Linked DNA regions of Nothobranchius furzeri. The protein of the gene in region 1 interacts with the protein of each later gene in a pairwise test. Links are inferred from orthologs where the notes say so. Each region holds a gene or a part of one and is shown on either strand. Other genes may lie near its edges.

Evidence for each region.
Region 2: the proteins of rtn1a (region 1) and ugcg interact in a two-hybrid assay, tested with the Homo sapiens proteins (2 studies listed by BioGRID and IntAct). The link is inferred for Nothobranchius furzeri from reciprocal best matches to the Homo sapiens genes RTN1 and UGCG.

Annotation. Positions count from the first base shown.
Region 1 is NC_091758.1:31,278,919-31,283,177, forward strand, and holds the start of rtn1a (reticulon-1a), read left to right. Parts: upstream 1-1,329; 5' UTR 1,330-1,910; coding exon 1,911-2,118; intron 2,119-4,259. Other genes in the region: lrrc9 (leucine-rich repeat-containing protein 9), read right to left, coding at 139-204. UniProt on the Homo sapiens protein: Inhibits amyloid precursor protein processing, probably by blocking BACE1 activity.
Region 2 is NC_091746.1:70,014,228-70,018,729, forward strand, and holds the start of ugcg (ceramide glucosyltransferase), read left to right. Parts: upstream 1-1,437; 5' UTR 1,438-1,643; coding exon 1,644-1,741; intron 1,742-2,176; coding exon 2,177-2,321; intron 2,322-4,502. UniProt on the Homo sapiens protein: Participates in the initial step of the glucosylceramide-based glycosphingolipid/GSL synthetic pathway at the cytosolic surface of the Golgi.

The DNA.
Region 1 (4,259 bases):
ATTGTTACAGTTTGGATTAATGTTTAGATATTTAGACATCGTTAATATGTGAATACATTTGGTCAAAAGATGATTTTAAAGTTTCAAATAAAAATTGCTTGTAGGATTTTAGTCTAAGCTAAATGAAACAAAACTTACCAGTTTTTTAAGCACCTCCTCATCCTCGGTTTGTTGTTTCATTTTCTTTTTCTCTGTCTGCAGCATTTTTATAACTCTGTAAAACCACAAAACAGCTATGATCTAAAGCATTTATCCTGTTTTCTTTACGGAGTATATTAGAATAAAGACAAATAATAAACACACCTGGGATTTTATAGAGATAACCAATAACAGCTGTAATTATTAACAAACATTTATGCTAACTTTGCTAGCCCACCAAAGAATAGTACTTTTTAACCTGTAGACTTCGTTGTAAATAAGTAATTAAAGGTTAAAATTAACACTGATTTAATTTAAAATTAAATAATTGTGTGTTAAAGCAAATAAAGTTAACTGTTGTCACCTAATAAGGAGGAAAATCCTATCTATGGTCCATTTGTTGTTTACGATCACGAGCGGTTGCTAAGGAGAAAAAGTTCATGACTTTGTTCATACCCGAAGCTGCCAGAAGAGGGCGCCAGACAGCAGCCCATTCAAACCCATGAAACCTGAAAATATACTTAACGGAAAGCAAATTTATCACATAATAGACTCGTCTGGTTTAGTACTTTTTAAGAAACTCAGAATGCCATTTGTCTAATTTTGCATAGCATTGCTAGACCCGCAATCCAAATTTTATTAATCATGACTTTAGTTCAGATAAAAAAATTAAAAATATTTCAGATTTCAAGATTGTTGAATCATTAACAATAATAAAAAAACATTATCGATATTCTGTAGGTTATCTGCGTTATGACTAGATAAAAATTTGTCAGCTACATGGACACTATCACATTAAATACCAGAAATGTTGCATCTCCGTTAGAATCTTTTACCAAAATTCATCATTATGATGACTGATAATATCCTGTCTATTGTGTTCTGAATTATACACTAGGCTCTACTCTAAAAAAAAGATTACTTTGGATGTTCACAATTTTTAGACAGAGGCCTACTTGTGGATACACCTTCATCTTTTGTTGGAGGTTAGAATGTTGCTTATGGGGAAAAACGTCATAAATATATATATATATATATATATATATATATATATATATATATATATATATATATATATATAATGTTTTTATTTATTTTTATTTTTTAAGTAAAGATGGATATTTGCGATTCATCCAGTTTAACTATCAGGTAACAAGACGACCACTAACGGTGTGAGGTATTTTTAAATGGGCTATGAAACTTAGGTTTTCCCATTATGAGAAACCACATGAGAAATGTAATTTAAACAGGAGACATAAACAATGTGAGGGTTGAATATGTGTTACAATGGCCTTCCATACTCACATCCCTCTGGACAAACAAAACAGATTAAATTAGAATTTGTTGCTCCTTTTTTGGAAACAGCTTCTGTTTTCAGTAGGATGCTTCTGGTCATCAGCAGCAGGTTGTGTGGGGTTTCTTCAGCTTTTATTATAAATATGTATTCATATTTTTACTTTCTAAAACGTGTAAGCAGACAGTACTTTTAATTTTTATTTTATTATTTTATAATTGTCCCGAATGAAGGGCCAACCCCGAGACACTATGACGTCAGCGTCGGATCAGTGAACTAAAACAATCACCCTTCTCCTCCTTTTCCCTAACCGACCGCACCGCCTCACCCGTGGCGTCTGAAACCCCCACCCGACCAGACCAGACAGGACCAGAACCAGAACCAGCTGCACCGCTCCGTCCGTCCGTTCAACGCTCGTTCACACGGTCACGGAGGAGGAGAAGCTTGCAGCAGCTGCGGTATCTTCTGTCCGACCAGCATGTCCGCTCAGCCCGGTGAGGAGCTCGGCTCGGATGGGAAGTGGTTCGGAGACGAGAGGAACGGCCTCTTTGGGAACGCGCCGCCTCGGTTCGGTGAGGAATTCAAGCCGAGAGGCAACGACGCGGCGGGCGACCTGGATAAACAATTTCATCTTTACCAGGACGACGGGAAAAGGCCTCCCGTTGCTATGGAAACTGCATCTACAGGTAAAACACGCACTTATCTCAGGTAAATCGTCATATCTGGACAACATGCTGTTGTGTTTGGGCCTAACATGGGTTTGTCTGTGCCAAATGTAAATAACAACACGCACCAGAAGCCTATTATAAACAGATGGACGCAGTCAATTTGTCACAGATTACGACGGAGGGCCTTGGGTTTGTCTGAACGCAGTTTAAAACTTCTGAGCAGGAAACACACAAACACAAGCTGCAAGAGAAATATTTGCAAATATGGATCCGCAAATTAAACGATATTTCCAACCAAAAGCAATTTAGCACCATTTTAGGCCATCAAAACATAATTTATTCAAGCTTTTTAATATGCCTACCTGTGGGGGGTTAAATGATGTTCTACCCCTCACAAATAAACAATAATATTCTTTTAGATGTTGAGGCAAGAGGAATAAGATAGAAAACACCCAAATATTGCAGCCTTCATTCAGAATCTCTTTAATGATGCTGATGCTTTAAACCATGCAGTGTGTGATGGCTTCTGGAGGTGTATTTTCTTGGAACATTATGGCCCTTAACCCCCTCAACGCAACCCTTCTCATCTTGATGCTATTTTAGTAACATGGCCCCTGGATTCGCTTGGTGTGCACAAACTAGAGCTCTGCACTTTTATTCACAAATCCACTGAAAAATTCATGAGATATGCTTTTAAAAGAAACCCTTATAGTCTCTTCCTTTTGCTCAGACCCTTTCCCATTCAGCATGCAGCAGCTGATCCAAAACAAGGAAGTAAATCATCCGTTTTAAAGGGGACGTAATATGTATCCCCTTGTGCTGCCGTGTGGGTCTTTGCTGCCTCTCTAAACACTCCAAACGGGAGTAAAACACATCCATCCATTGTCTGCCCGTTTGGATTTAGGGATGATGCACCTAAAACAAGCTGTTTTAAAAAGTCCTCATTTGTAACATCGCAAACGGGGAAATTAGCATCTCACCTGAAGGAAAGCAACACAGCGTGAGGAGCAGCGTCTCTACTCTAACCCCTCCTTTCCACCGGAGCCGTACAGCACATCATATAGTTGCTGATAGGAACCGCTGTGGTAAACAGAACCTTTTCCACTGGAGCATCAGCAGCGCGAGTCGGCCGCATCTCAGGAGCAGCATGTCGCGGCCCTTACTCGCCGGCTCTGTTTTCTACGCGCTACGCCTCTGAAATGGGTCAAGTTCGACATTTTTGGGAAAGGAAAGACAGGAAATCGGACGCGGAAATGGAGCGAAGCTTCCCGAGATTTTCAGAATAAAGAAACGTACTGCCATCTGGTTGCTTTACTTTAAAAAAAAGTTATCACCTAGCTAGCTGTCTCCTTTGTTTTTCCATAATGGACGACGAAAGGTTGATTACTGAAGTGGAGAAGTACCCAATCCTGTTTGATCCCAGTCACAGTTTTTATAAAGACAACGTCAAGAAGGATAACACATGGAGTGACGTATCTGCGGTTTGGGGGCAAGATGGTGAGTTTATGCTAATTATTAACGAGATTTCTTTTCTGTATGGACCTCTGTCAGTTATGCTGACGCGTGATTTTGCTAATGTCGCGTGACTTCGTGCTCTGTCGGTGACAGCTGCCCCCCTGCTGCGTCGCGTCTCCTGGGAAGGGCCAAGCAGCAGCATACGCGAGCAAGACGTGCTGCTGCAGTAAAGTGCTGCTGACGGCTCCGGTGGAAAGGAGGGGTGTGCCCCTCCAAGATATCTGAGCTTCTCAGCTTATAGCAGCCTGAGCGTAGGATGGGTGGGCGTGGCCAGCTCCAACTTGTTAAAGCGACAGAGCCCTGAAACAGCTCAATCTGGAAGGTACTGAAATTGCTTAATGTGAGAGGGATTTCATGCAAAGCATTTCATAAACATGTTTTATATCGGCTGTAGAACTATTATAACCTAAAAAAAATCATCATGTGTCTAATTTGAGTCAACTTGGTGAATGCACAATTTAGACCTTGGTTTTTGCCATGGATGTGGAATATTTCATTTGAGGGTGAAGAGTTTATGCAAAAAGTGCATTTAGTTTTACAAATTAGCTGTACTCTCTTAAAAAGTAAACAAAGCATTTGCTCTACTTTTATAACAGTCTGCTAGATACGCTGTGTAGATGCACACTGGCACACACACACACACA
Region 2 (4,502 bases), on another chromosome or scaffold:
CTTTGACTTTATTTTAGTTCATAGTAGCCAATCAGACTACGATTAATACTTTGTGCTTTTTTCTACTTTATGGGTCGTTTACATGCGCCATCTTGTCCTAATTTGTGTCTCTACCTGGCCACCCCAAAATAAATGTTCTAGACACACACCTGTTGAGCAGACCACCCTCAGACAGGCACTGTGAACAGATCCCTCCACGTTTCACTCTCTAGATACGTTTTACCAGTCAGGACGAAGGTTCAGAGTCCGCCTCTGTCAGCACAACCGGTACAAACGCTCACTTCTCCCATTATCAGTGAAGCTGTTAAAGCACAAGATGAACATGTCCACTAGAATGCGCTGTTGCCTAGGCAACGGAGTCAAAAACCAATGGCTCTGGAGCCAGCTTAGCAGACAACTCCTATGTCAGAGGCGAGTTATCACCAGTGTGTGTGTGTGTGTGTGTGTTGGACGTGTCTTGCCCAAGGGCACTACGTTAGACCCAGATGAAGCCTGGGTTAGAACTGGCAACCCACATGTTACAGGACAAATTCTTATCCCCTGAGCCACTGATGGACTGTGGACACCTGCCTCACCTCACCTGGGGCCTGACGGGGACAAACAGCTGTCTGAAACTCAGGAATAAACAATTTAGACAGAGAGAGAGAGAATAAAAGGTCCGAGCCAATCAGGCTTCTCAGAATCTCTGAATCACTTCCTGTTTCTTGCCTGGGGGAGCAGCTAATTACCACACTGACTTATGATGTCATCATGATGATGACACTACACATAAGCATCCTGGCTGTCACATGACAAGAGGGTTTAGGTGTTTTTGTTTAAAAAAGTGGAACTGGTTTCTAGATGATGTCATCAGGGACATAGTTCAGTTATTAGACGAGTTTCACCAAGTCAAACGAAAAAGTACCAAATAGCTAAGTTTGACCTGTAGTAGCTGCTGTAAGCGTGTGTGTGTGTGTGTGTGTTTTCCTTTATTTGAACTTTATTCGTGTCATTGTTTTCATTTTAAAGGTGAGAGGTAGTTCAGAAGGAGAAAGCTGGAGGTGAGACAGCTCGAGCCACACCTGCTGAGGTGCAGGTAGGTGCTACAATGAGGGCTGAGGAGATTTTAGATGGTTGATGACGAGAGGGAGGAGAACACCATGACAGCAGGACTGGACTTGATGGTTGGTCTGCAGGAGGAGCTCTGGTGGAGTCAGATCCACCAATGCGGGTTTACCTGTTGCCGATGTATACAGGTTAGGGGTTCTGAGAGCAGGGCGCAACCTGGATAAGCGGAAGTGAAAGGATGAATTACTAAAAGTATGTTTATTCAGACAAGCTTTTATTTTGGAAGCACAAGCCGAACTTTGCTTTCGCTTCCGGTGTCGGCGCCGTACCCCCCCCCCCCCCCGTGTTGATCAGCTGACCGTCCATCGGTCTGCTGACTGTCAATAAGCCCCGAACACAGAACCCGAACCCCGCTGCTGGAGCCCTCGGACCGGACCGGACCACTTCCTGCCGCCCTTCGCTGCTACCCGGAGAGCGGATCTCTGGCAGCAGCAGCCGTTGCTCCTGGTTCCGGTGTTGTCCAGTCAGCTGGTCGCGACCACCCAGAGCCGAAGCTCCCTGAGGCGGCCTTCAGCCCCGCAGCCCCCCGGAGAGCCATGGACCTGCTGGATGTCGCCATGCAGGGCCTGGCCGTGTTCGGCCTGGTTCTGTTCGCCGTTTTGTGGCTCATGCACTTCATGTCCATCATCTATGTGTGAGTGACCCTTCTGTCGTGTCTGGACCTTGATCACCGACCCGGTTCGGCTGCCGGTGATCCCCGTGTGTCAGCTAGACCAGCCGGTGACCGTTACCGGTTAGCTGCTGCTTACAGCCGAGTACAGCTGAGTCCGCCCGACGGAGGACTTCCTGCGGTTTCGGATCACACCCATCACGGCCTGTAGCATTAGCCGTTAGCCTTCCGGTGTTCCGCCGGTAGACCGGTCCTGGTTCTGACAGCTGCGTGTTTACCGGCGTCGAGTTTTTTTATTCAGCAAAACTTTATTATGTTTTATCCAGAAAAACCACAACTTCCGGTCTTGTTCCGGTTCGGTTGGGACTTTTACATAACTCCGGTTTCTGGTCCTGGTCCTGTTGCTGGTGAGCAGAACCACATCATTGTGTCTAAGCTGACCTTTGACCTCTGTTGCAGGCGTCTTTACCTCCATAGGAAGAGGTCAGAGGTCAAGCAGCCGTTCCTGCAGGTAGCTGGAGTCTCTCTGCTGAAACCACTGAAGGGGGTCGACCCGAACCTCATCTGCAACCTGGAGACCTTCTTCACTCTGGACTACCCCAAGGTAACACACACACACACACACACACACACACACACACACACACACACACACACACACACACACACACACACACACACACACACACACACACACACACACACACATTTACACACACATACACATTTACACACACACACACACACACACACACACACACACACACATACACATACACACACATACACATTTACATTCACACACACACACACACACACACACACACACACACACAGGGATTTACTGACATGTGACCCTCAGCTGACTGGGCCCTGACTCACTAACATCAAAACCTCTCATAAACGATGGGGGTTCTGCTGGTGCCCCGGCCTGGTTACCGGCCCCCTCCACCAGACCTGCTGCCGCTACGGTGTGTTGGTGCGTTTCCTGTGAAACGCTCAGCCACAATCCAAGTGACTGGAGGTAGTGTAGTATTAAATCAGGTGTGTGTGTGTGTGCGCGCGCTCTGACAGCACTGTATGGGCTGCGCTGACACTGATCTGCTAACAAAGTTCCTAACGGATAAATGAAGGGAATAAAGCGTAGCCTACGCTCACACGCCACTCTTCCAGAACATTCAAGCTCAGGAGTTCAGATCGGGTCAGACAGGAAGTCAAACAAGAAGCTGTTGTTAAACATGGGAACTTTAAAAAGTCCCATGCAGATTTGCTGTTTACTAGTAAAACATGAGACCTCCATAGCCGAGGCAAACCCAACAGAACCGAACCACAGACCTTCTGGGAAAGCTGCTTCTGTCGTAGAGATGAGCTCAGTGTTTCTGGGTCACATCCCGCCTCTTCCTGCCATGAATGAACAATGCTAACTTAGTTATGAAAATGCAGCATAGAAATGAGGTGTCATTTCACAGGTAACCATGGCAACTTGGATAGAAATTCAGACTCTAGGACGTCGCGTTGGTGCGCAAAAAATGTTTTCTCCCTTCCAGCGGCACTGTGCTGCTGCAGCGGTGGGCTGAGGAGCGATCAGGCAACATCCAAATAAAAACATGGTCAGATGGATGCGCTGCTGCATCAGGGTGCTCTGGGATGGCTGGATATCCCAGTCTAACACCGGCTTTTCAATTCCAGGCCTCGAGGACCGGTATCCAGCACATTTCAGTGGTTTCTCTGGTCCAACACACTGGATTTTGTGGTTGAATCACCTGTGCAGCAGCTCATCAGGCCCTGCAGAAGCCTGTTAATCACCTACTAACTGAAATGTTGAAGCAGGGTTAAAACCAAAACGTGCTGGACACCGGCCTCGAGGCTCGGGATGAATGTCCCTGCTGTACAGAATATTCCTGTCATCAAGATGCACAGTGAGCTGGGGGGTGGGGGGGTCAGAGGTAACTGGGGGTGTGTCAGAGGTAACTGGGGGGGGGGGGTGTCAGAGGTAACTGGGGGTGTGTTAGAGGTAACTGGGGGGCGTGTCAGAGGTAACTGGGGGGTATCAGAGGTAACTGGGGGGGTGTCTGAGGTAACTGGGGGTATGTCAGAGGTAACTGGGGGGTGTCAGAGGTAGCTGGGGGTGTGTCTGAGGTAACTGGGGGTGTGTGTCAGAGGTAACTGGGGGGTGTGTCTGAGGTAACTGGGGGGGTGTGTCAGAGGTAACTGTGGGTGTGTGTCAGAGGTAACTGGGGGGGGGGTGTCAGAGGTAACTGGGGGTGTGTCTGAGGTAACTGGGCGGGGGGGTGTCAGAGGTAACTGGGGGGTGTCAGAGGTAACTGGGGGTGTGTCTGAGGTAACTGGGCAGGGGGGGGGGTGTCAGAGGTAACTGGGGGGTGTCAGGGGTAACTGGGGATGTGTGTCAGAGGTAACTGAGGGTGTGTCTGAGGTAACTGGGCGGGGGGGTGTCAGAGGTAACTGGGGATGTCTGTCAGAGGTAACTGAGGGTGTGTCTGAGGTAACTGGGCGGGGGGGTGTCAGAGGTAACTGGGGGTGTGTCTGAGGTAACTGGGGGTGTGTCAGAGGTAACTGGGGGTGTGTCTGAGGTAACTGGGGGGGTGTCTGAGGTAACTGGGGGGGTGTCTGAGGTAACTGGGGGTGTGTCTGAGGTAACTGGGGGTGTGTCTGAGGTAACTGGGGGGTGTCAGAGGTAACTGGGGGTGTGTCTGAGGTAACTGGGGGTGTGTCAGAGGTAACTGGGGGTGTGTCTGAGGTAACTGGGGGTGTGTCAGAGGTAACT